Linked DNA regions of Drosophila melanogaster. The protein of the gene in region 1 interacts with the protein of each later gene in a pairwise test. Each region holds a gene or a part of one and is shown in the gene's direction. Other genes may lie near its edges. The genes, in order: SLIRP2 and Leash.

What was found.
Region 2: the proteins of SLIRP2 (region 1) and Leash interact in a two-hybrid assay, tested with the Drosophila melanogaster proteins (one large-scale study listed by BioGRID).

What each region holds. Positions count from the first base shown.
Region 1 is NT_033777.3:8,649,303-8,652,048, forward strand, and holds SLIRP2 (SRA stem-loop interacting RNA binding protein 2), read left to right. Parts: upstream 1-1,781; 5' UTR 1,782-1,814; coding exon 1,815-2,090; 3' UTR 2,091-2,191; downstream 2,192-2,746. Other genes in the region: Mkk4 (MAP kinase kinase 4), read right to left, coding at 1-117, 176-1,017, 1,179-1,209; Dhod (dihydroorotate dehydrogenase), read right to left, coding at 2,211-2,746.
Region 2 is NT_033777.3:10,883,556-10,888,752, forward strand, and holds the start of Leash (leash), read left to right. Parts: upstream 1-1,984; 5' UTR 1,985-2,417; coding exon 2,418-2,532; intron 2,533-3,789; exon of another isoform or gene 3,790-4,104; coding exon of another isoform or gene 4,105-4,755; exon of another isoform or gene 4,756-4,788; intron 4,789-5,197. Other genes in the region: CG14696 (uncharacterized protein), read right to left, coding at 1-359, 1,165-1,279; Ak3 (adenylate kinase 3), read right to left, coding at 4,105-4,755.

The sequences.
Region 1 (2,746 bases):
GTCCCATTTACGATAGGGGAAATTACCAGTCGCCACCTCCATTAATGTGATGCCCAATGACCAAACATCGCTTCGTACATCGTAGCCCTTGGCACGTTCTGGATCAATGCGCTCCGGCTGCACAAATGCATACAATTGCGGTAAAAATGTTGTGAAATCAAATGACAATCATTACCGCCATGTAGGGCCTGCAGCCCGCATCCTTGGTCTTGGCAATAGAGTCGACCAGCTGACCCGAAATACCAAAATCGCACAGCTTTATGTCTCCGCGACGGTGCAACAGAATGTTGCTCGGTTTCACATCCCGATGGATAATCTTTAGCTCCTCCTTCAAATAGTTCAGCGCATTGACCGTGGCCACTGTTATCTTAGCCAGTATAGACTCTGGAATGTGGCGCTGCTGCTTTTCGTAGATGTACTTGTAAAACTTGTCCAAAGAGGTGTCCATCAGCTCCATACAAATCCAGCAGTCACCCTCCTTGAAAAGCGCCCCATAGAACTGAACAATGTAAATGCACTCGTTGGACTTCATGACCACCTCGAGATCCATGAGCAGCTGCTTCTGTTCCTTCTCGTCTACGGTGGATCGAATGCGCTTGACGGCCATCACCTTGTCCAATTTCTTAAAGGTCATCTTGTTGACTGCCCCAAATGCACCGCGTCCAATTTCGCCCTCATCCTCGAGATCGTCTGAAGTAAATGTGTGTGTATTAGCGCCGCCCTCACCAAACTGTAGCTTGCCACAGGCCTGCTGGCGAATTCGCTCCCGGTGACGATCGGCAGCGCTGCTGCTCGATGCTGCCGGCACCGGTGGCACTTGACTGCTGGCCACCGGCGGGGTTTGCTGTGGCTGCTGGGCACCAAAACAGCGGGTCACATGGTTGTGCTGTGATGAGGAACTTGAGCCCGAGGAGGTGGATCCCGAAGAAGTGGACGACGTGGACGAGGGCGGATGGCGTATGCTAAGATTATTCAGGCTTAGCTGATCCGGGGGATTGCGGGAGCGACTGGATCCGGCTGGAATGTGTGGGAAATGGGAGAATTTAGGAGGCTTCATAGATGGCTTATCGCCGCTGCACCAGATTTCCAAACTATGCGTCACCCAGCGAGTATGTGGTCCTCTTCGGCTGCATGTGTATGACCTGCGTGGGCGGTTCGAGACCAAAGGGGTAACTCACTTGCAAACAAATTTTTCGGTCGTTCGGCCATTGTGTGTGGTGGCTGAAAGTATCGATGCGCCTTTGTGTGGCTGTCCTAAGGATGTTTTGTCCGTTTTCTGCAGGCGCCGCGCCCCGAATACAACACGTCGACTTGATGCTCCTTTGGCCCTCCGATCGCCTGGTTACTGGGCCGCCTTTGATGGGCTCTTCGCCGTTTGCAACGCAACTACTTTTTCAGCAATCGAGCGCACTGATATGCACTTTTTCCGCAATTTCGCTAAACATTTACATAAATAGCAACCAAAACTTAAAAGAGCTAGAGATGAAACATTGATTATTTGCGGCCAATCGATAGCCATCGATAGTATGCGCACTAGCTTGCGATAAGCAGTCCTGCAAGGTGCAAAAGTAGTGAGGTGGGTAATAAAACGAATATAAAAATGTCACCTATAAATAATTATTTCTTTAAAACCAAGAGATTTGAGTTTCTATTTTTCACAAATTAATCCCAGCTTTGTTAAAGTTTTTACTAGTTGAAAAGTTACATTTCGTCAATAAGTGACGTCGACGCCTACATAAACCAATCTGCGCCACCTTAAAATCAATGCACAATCACCAGTGATTTAAAACCAGAAAATTAAAACATACATAATCATGTCCAGCGGATTTGTTCGCAGCAGCTACAAATTGTTCGTCGGCAACCTGCCATGGACGATAGGTAGCAAGGAACTGCGGACCTACTTCTCAAAGTACGGGCACGTGGCCAACGCGGAGGTGGTCTTTGACCGGCAACTGGGCCTGTCCAAGCACTATGGCTTTGTGGTTTTCAGCCAACGGGATGCCTTCAACAGCGCCAGCAACCAGAACACCCATTTCCTCGATGGACGAGTGCTCACAGTCCAGCGGGCGAATGAAAGTCCTCAGAGTTAATCAATGAAGAATTTAATGATTTATTGGTTAGACCAAAGGAAAAGCATGAGAAATGTTTGTTAACAGCTTAGTTTTACACAAATGAATGCAGCACTTGCTTCAAATCGTGGCATCTTTGATTCATTTGGGCAAGTAGAACTTGCTGTTGGTGCCCACCACGTCCGCAACATTAGTGTGACCCAGCCGTGTGATCAGCGCCGACAGCTCCGCCTTAATGTCTTCCACAAGAGCGGGTCCCTCGTACACTAAAGCCGTGTAGATTTGGACGTAGGAAGCTCCAGCTTCGATCTTTTCGTATGCATCATAGCCGGAAGCCACTCCGCCGACGCCTATGATGGGAATCTTTCCATCGGTGAGCTGGTACATCTGGGCGATCATCTCTGTGGAGCGGGCCTTGAGTGGAGGACCACTTAATCCGCCAGTTTCCTCGGCCAGCTTGTTCTTTTCGATGTTTTCCCGCGACACCGTGGTGTTTGAAACGATCAGGCCATCCACGCGGCTCTTCTTGCGCTTGATTACCCACACGATGTCCTTCATGTCGTCCAAAGATAGATCCGGCGAAAGTTTCAAGAGTATAGGCACATTCTTGTTCTTATCCAGGGAGGATTTCGTGTCGTTGACCTGTTCCAGGAGCTCTCTTAGCTTCTCCTTGCTCT
Region 2 (5,197 bases), 2.2 Mb from region 1:
GAGCCGCCTATTAAGATCATGTGGCAGGATCACCGTGAAGCACTGCTTAAATGTGTTGTTGTAGCGAACCGCGCGATCGATGGTTAGGGTAACCTCGTGCTTAATCTGACCATGAGCACCATTGAATGAGGTGGGTGCATTGGGCGGAATGGTAGCCCGGAAGGGAAAGACGTACTTGCCGGTGGGCAACTCCAGCTGCGAGCCACCGGCCTGGCCGTAAACCGGCTGGTCAGTGCTGTAGTAGACCTCGGTGGTGGTGTGGGTCACCAGGGACTTGGTCGTCTTCCCATCCTCTCCCACTCGCTCCTCGCTTTCCTGCCAACGCGTCTCGCCGTATCCATTTATGGTTATAAAGATCGCTGCAATTGGATTAATTTGTCTGTACTGCCGGGTATGTAATTCAATTATGCATTTAGTTTAATTGCCATTGACCTTGGACCTTTTGTGTGTTTCGGATGTAGAATTGTATTGGAAAATTGCTCAGCTACAAACAACTGTCTTTGTTAATGAACTAACAATAATTTAATCAGAAGCATAAAAAAAACGAATGCTACCTAATAAAGTTCACCATCAAATTAAAGCGCTGCTAAGGCTCGACTATTTGATACCCTAGGAAATATTTGATTATTTGAATTTGAACCGATGGCTAGGGTCCACTTAGCTTGCTAATGGGATTTGTATAAATTTATATATATATGTATATCTGCATGAATTACGCCTAATTGACCCAAAATGCTACCTATACACTACAATTTAAAGGTATTGGCACGAACGGGCTGACCAGTAACTGAATCAAATATCTAATAATACAAACAGCGTACGCAATTTCAAAACAAAACTAGTTTTTACGCCGCTATCAGATATCCGCCAGCCAGCCAAGCGGCCACATGTGTGTTGTATATAAACTTTATGTATACATACATATATGTACATTTGTATATACAATACACATCTTTCAAGCATATCTACCGGCAACAATAACATTAAACCAGCGGATAACAAAGCACCAACAATATTAAGTGGATATTTATTTATTAGTGGATGGTAAAACGGTATGGGATTCAGAATTTGAATGGTGATGGAGGGGGATGACGTCATGGTTTCGAGTCCATTAGAATACATATGTATGTAGTGCGTCTTCTTCCGCATGTCGGTGTCACTTACATCGAATCGTCTTGGGGCGCTCCGTAATCAGTTCCGCCGTGCCGGAGATAAGCTGACCGGCTTGATAGAGCCCCAAAGGATTGCTGTCGAAGACGAAGTTCACCTTGCTGCTCATCCTGTCCAGAATTGGCTCCTTGGCGACGGTGTCGGGTGGTATCGCGCTATCAAGTTCCTTTGTTTGTTTTATTGATAGTTGGTGGAAGAGGTAGGGATTCGATGTATTCGAGGGTTCCGGCGACTCAGCTCGCAAGCTCCGAACGCGAGCAGCTCTGGCTTAATACTGAATTCTCAAAAGTCTTTGGTGAGACCGAAGAACCGAGAAGCAAACTTTTGTGCGCGAGAGGTTACAAGAAGAAGAAGCGAAGGACAGAACGGGGAAGCACACGAAATACTATATGGAGCATTATGCTGCTAAGCCAACTAAAGTTTAATCTTAATAAAATATGTATGTATGCTTCAATCATCGCTGACATCTAAGCTGAGCGTTTTGTTATCTATACAGTAAAATATTTGGTAATTATTATTCGTAGTGAAATATATCAACTTAAATTATTGGCGATATTCAAACAGAGAGTTTCTTCTTCTCTTTTCAAACATCAAACCATAAAAAAAGACCATTACTACCAAGCATTTCTGAACTCTTGCATTACAACTGAAAACAGTGCATTTAAGAAACGCTGTTTAGAACTTAAACTTTAAATTAGACACATTTGAAAATACCGATTAAAAAGTCTGCGAATTAACCGCTTCAGCTGGCCAGGCGCCCGGTGGCAGCACCGCGCAACAGCTGTTCGTGCTATCGGACCGCCGCTCTCACGGTTATCGAAAGAGAGCTGCAGCTACAACAAAAAAGCGTAACTCACGGATCTCGTAAATTTATAAGAAATTTAATTATTCAACCCGCCAGCGGACGACAGCAATCGAATTAAATTAGCCCGGGGTGTGCGACCAACACTTGTGGGCCATTGCGAATTGATGGATATCGAGATTCCCCAAGAACTGGCCACAATCAGCGCGAAAAAGCTCCCACTCACCGCGCGGTGTGTGTAGTAACATCAAATCGTAAATCGTGAGGCGAGTGCGTGTGGTGGTGCTACTATTCTGCATATACTTTAGGGTGGTGCGGGCCGTGGTGCTGCAGTGCATCCATGTACGTTTGTATGTGGCGGCATTTTGATGACGAAATTATTTTTGGATAAGTGCGTGAGGAAAGTGGCCAAACCGGAGGAGTCATCACCATCAACGCCAGCGGAATGGAAAGCGAGCGGCTGCGAATCACGCTGGACAGCGCGGATCGGGTTTACTTTGCGGGCGACATAATTCGCGGCGAGATCTGGATGAACGTCAACAAGCGCACCAAAATACGCGGTAAGTGCCAGTCGAGCATAACTTGCCGCTTCCTGGAATGCACATCTCAAAGCTCGGCTTGCATCATCCATGACTCAGCTGTAGACACGCAGAGAAAGTGTTTCAAAACCCTACATTTAACGTTAGGCTCTTAGTTTATGATTCTGGGTATTGTTTACATGTGTACATATAGATCGTATTACCGAAAAGATTTAGCTTAGATATAGTAATCTAATATTAACAAAGATGGTTTTCTGCACAACCCATCATGTACTCCACAAATAGAAATGTGCTTTTTTCTGTTTTGTCAGCGGTTTGCAATCCATTGTCCGCCCGATGGTCAGCTGGACTTTCGTTGCGGCCCCATTCGCATAAACAAAGAACTCCATCAGTTAACAAAGCACAGCGGCCATTTTATGGGGCTTCCTCCCCCTCCGCTTCACCGCAATTTCGAGATTCTTGCTCGCAAATTCCTCTAATTGCCTTCGGCGCTCGCCTTTCATTCATCGATAAGCTTTCAATTGCCGCCCGTTGCAATTGCAATTGAATTTCTTTTCGTTCTTCACGATTCTTGAGTACTGGCATTTGTTTCAGGAAATGCCAACCCAAACGCATCGCGCGAGAGGGGAGTGTAGACGGTGGGGGCATGTGCGAAGAGAGGCACACTCAGTTGGCGTGCCGAAAAAGCCGTAATATTGGGCCAAGCGCAAGTCGGGTCTAAATGAGAGAGAGGTGAGAGGGCGCTCGCAGCACAGTGGTGGCCACAAAGGGGTTTATATAGGTTTTTTTTTTTAATTATCCAGAAATAAGATTCCCAGTAATGGTATATTCCGAAGTATAGTGTTTAAAAGGCAAACAGCTATCTCCATTTTATTATGAAGTATACCTTTAAAACAATAAGTGGTTTATTGAATTTTTTATAAATGACTTAAAGAATTTTAAATCTGACATAATTGGGCGCCCTTGACTGTACAAGCGCCTCTCTGTTGTGATTTGCCACTATACAGGTGTGCGTGAGAACAGCAGCTGGTCCGTGCATGTGTGAGTAAGAGAGCGCGAGACTAAACGGGAGCGCCACACTATCCCATATTTTTTAGAAATTAATGCGCTACGCGATAAAATGAAGGGCATTTGGGTGTCATGAGGTGAAGCTAAAAGTGTTGGCTTCACGCATGGGGCCAAGGGTTTGTGGACATTGCCTAAAAATAGATCGACGGCTGTCCGTTAACTGCCCAAAAGTCAAAGTCGGCTGTTATCAGCGCATATATATATATATTTATATATATAAAAAACGCGATTTATTATCAGAGCACAGAATACGAGTACAAAAATATGTTTATACAAAAAAGGGGGGAGCTGCAAGACATGCTCATGAGGGGAATGATATCTGTGGAAGAAGGAATACATGACAGCTGCTACTGTGTAAGGCTTCGCAATTACATTAATTATACGCCTGTTCCTCTTAACCGGCCCACAAACATACATATTTCATACGTATTCATTTATATATATCTAAATATATTATGCACTTAATTGAACACAGCAGTTTATCGTTAGTTTGTGCACATTGGATGTAATTTCGGGGTTGCTCCATTACGCATTTATGCGGTCGTTGAGGAAAAGCTCCATCATCGGCCAGATCTCCTTTGTCTGTTTTCCCTTGAAAGTGGCAACCAGACCCTTCTTTTCGTACCAGGCTATTACCGGGCTCATCACCTCATCGTAGAGCTCCAGTCGCTTGGCCACCACATGGGGTTTATCATCTTCGCGTTGCATCAGCGGCTCCCCCGTCACATCATCTTTGCCAGGCACTTTGGGATTCTTGAAGCCAATATTGTACACCCTGCCGGAGGGCGCATGGATCCAGCGATTCTTGACCCGGTCGATAATCACACTATGTGGAACGTCCAGCGTGATCACGGCATCGATTTGCTCGCGTGCAGCCAGTGCCTCGGCCTGGGCTATATTGCGCGGGAATCCGTCTAGGATGTACGACCTGTTGCCTACCTCGGTTATCCGGGCCAGCATCGTCTTGGTCACAATCGCGTCGGGCACCAGTTTACCTTCAGCAATGTACTGCTTGGCCTTTTTTCCAAGTTCTGTGTTTTTTATGATGTTCTGGCGCAGAATGTCCCCCGTGGAGATGTGCACACATCCATGGTTCTTGCAGATCAATTCCGAAATAGTTCCTTTGCCCGAGCCGGGGGCTCCGATTATCACAGCGCGAAAGATTTTCGTAAACATGTCTAAGCTCTAGTTCTTCAACCTCTCCTTGAGCTGCAAGACAAAAAATTGAATTGATACATGGTTAAATTTAATATGATATGATAAAAAAATTCGGTTTATCTATTTAATATAGGATCTGTTTTTATATTTTGATTTAGGGTCAATAACATATAATCTTGGCAGTAAAACCAAAATTATTTCAGTTGACCATACTCGACTACTTTTATGGGCGATAAGACTATCAAGCACGCCACAATTGTTTGATACAGAGGTGATGAAGGTCATAGTTTTCGCTAAAGCTTATGTGTTTTATGTGTGACTAATCACGGGAATCCAACCAATGATTCCATTCAATTTGTGAGCGAACACGGCAATAAAGAGTGGGTAAATATAACACTAAATCACTTGTCAGCTTTTGTGCTCGTGAACCAACATGCCGCTTGGTAACAAGTGTAGCGCA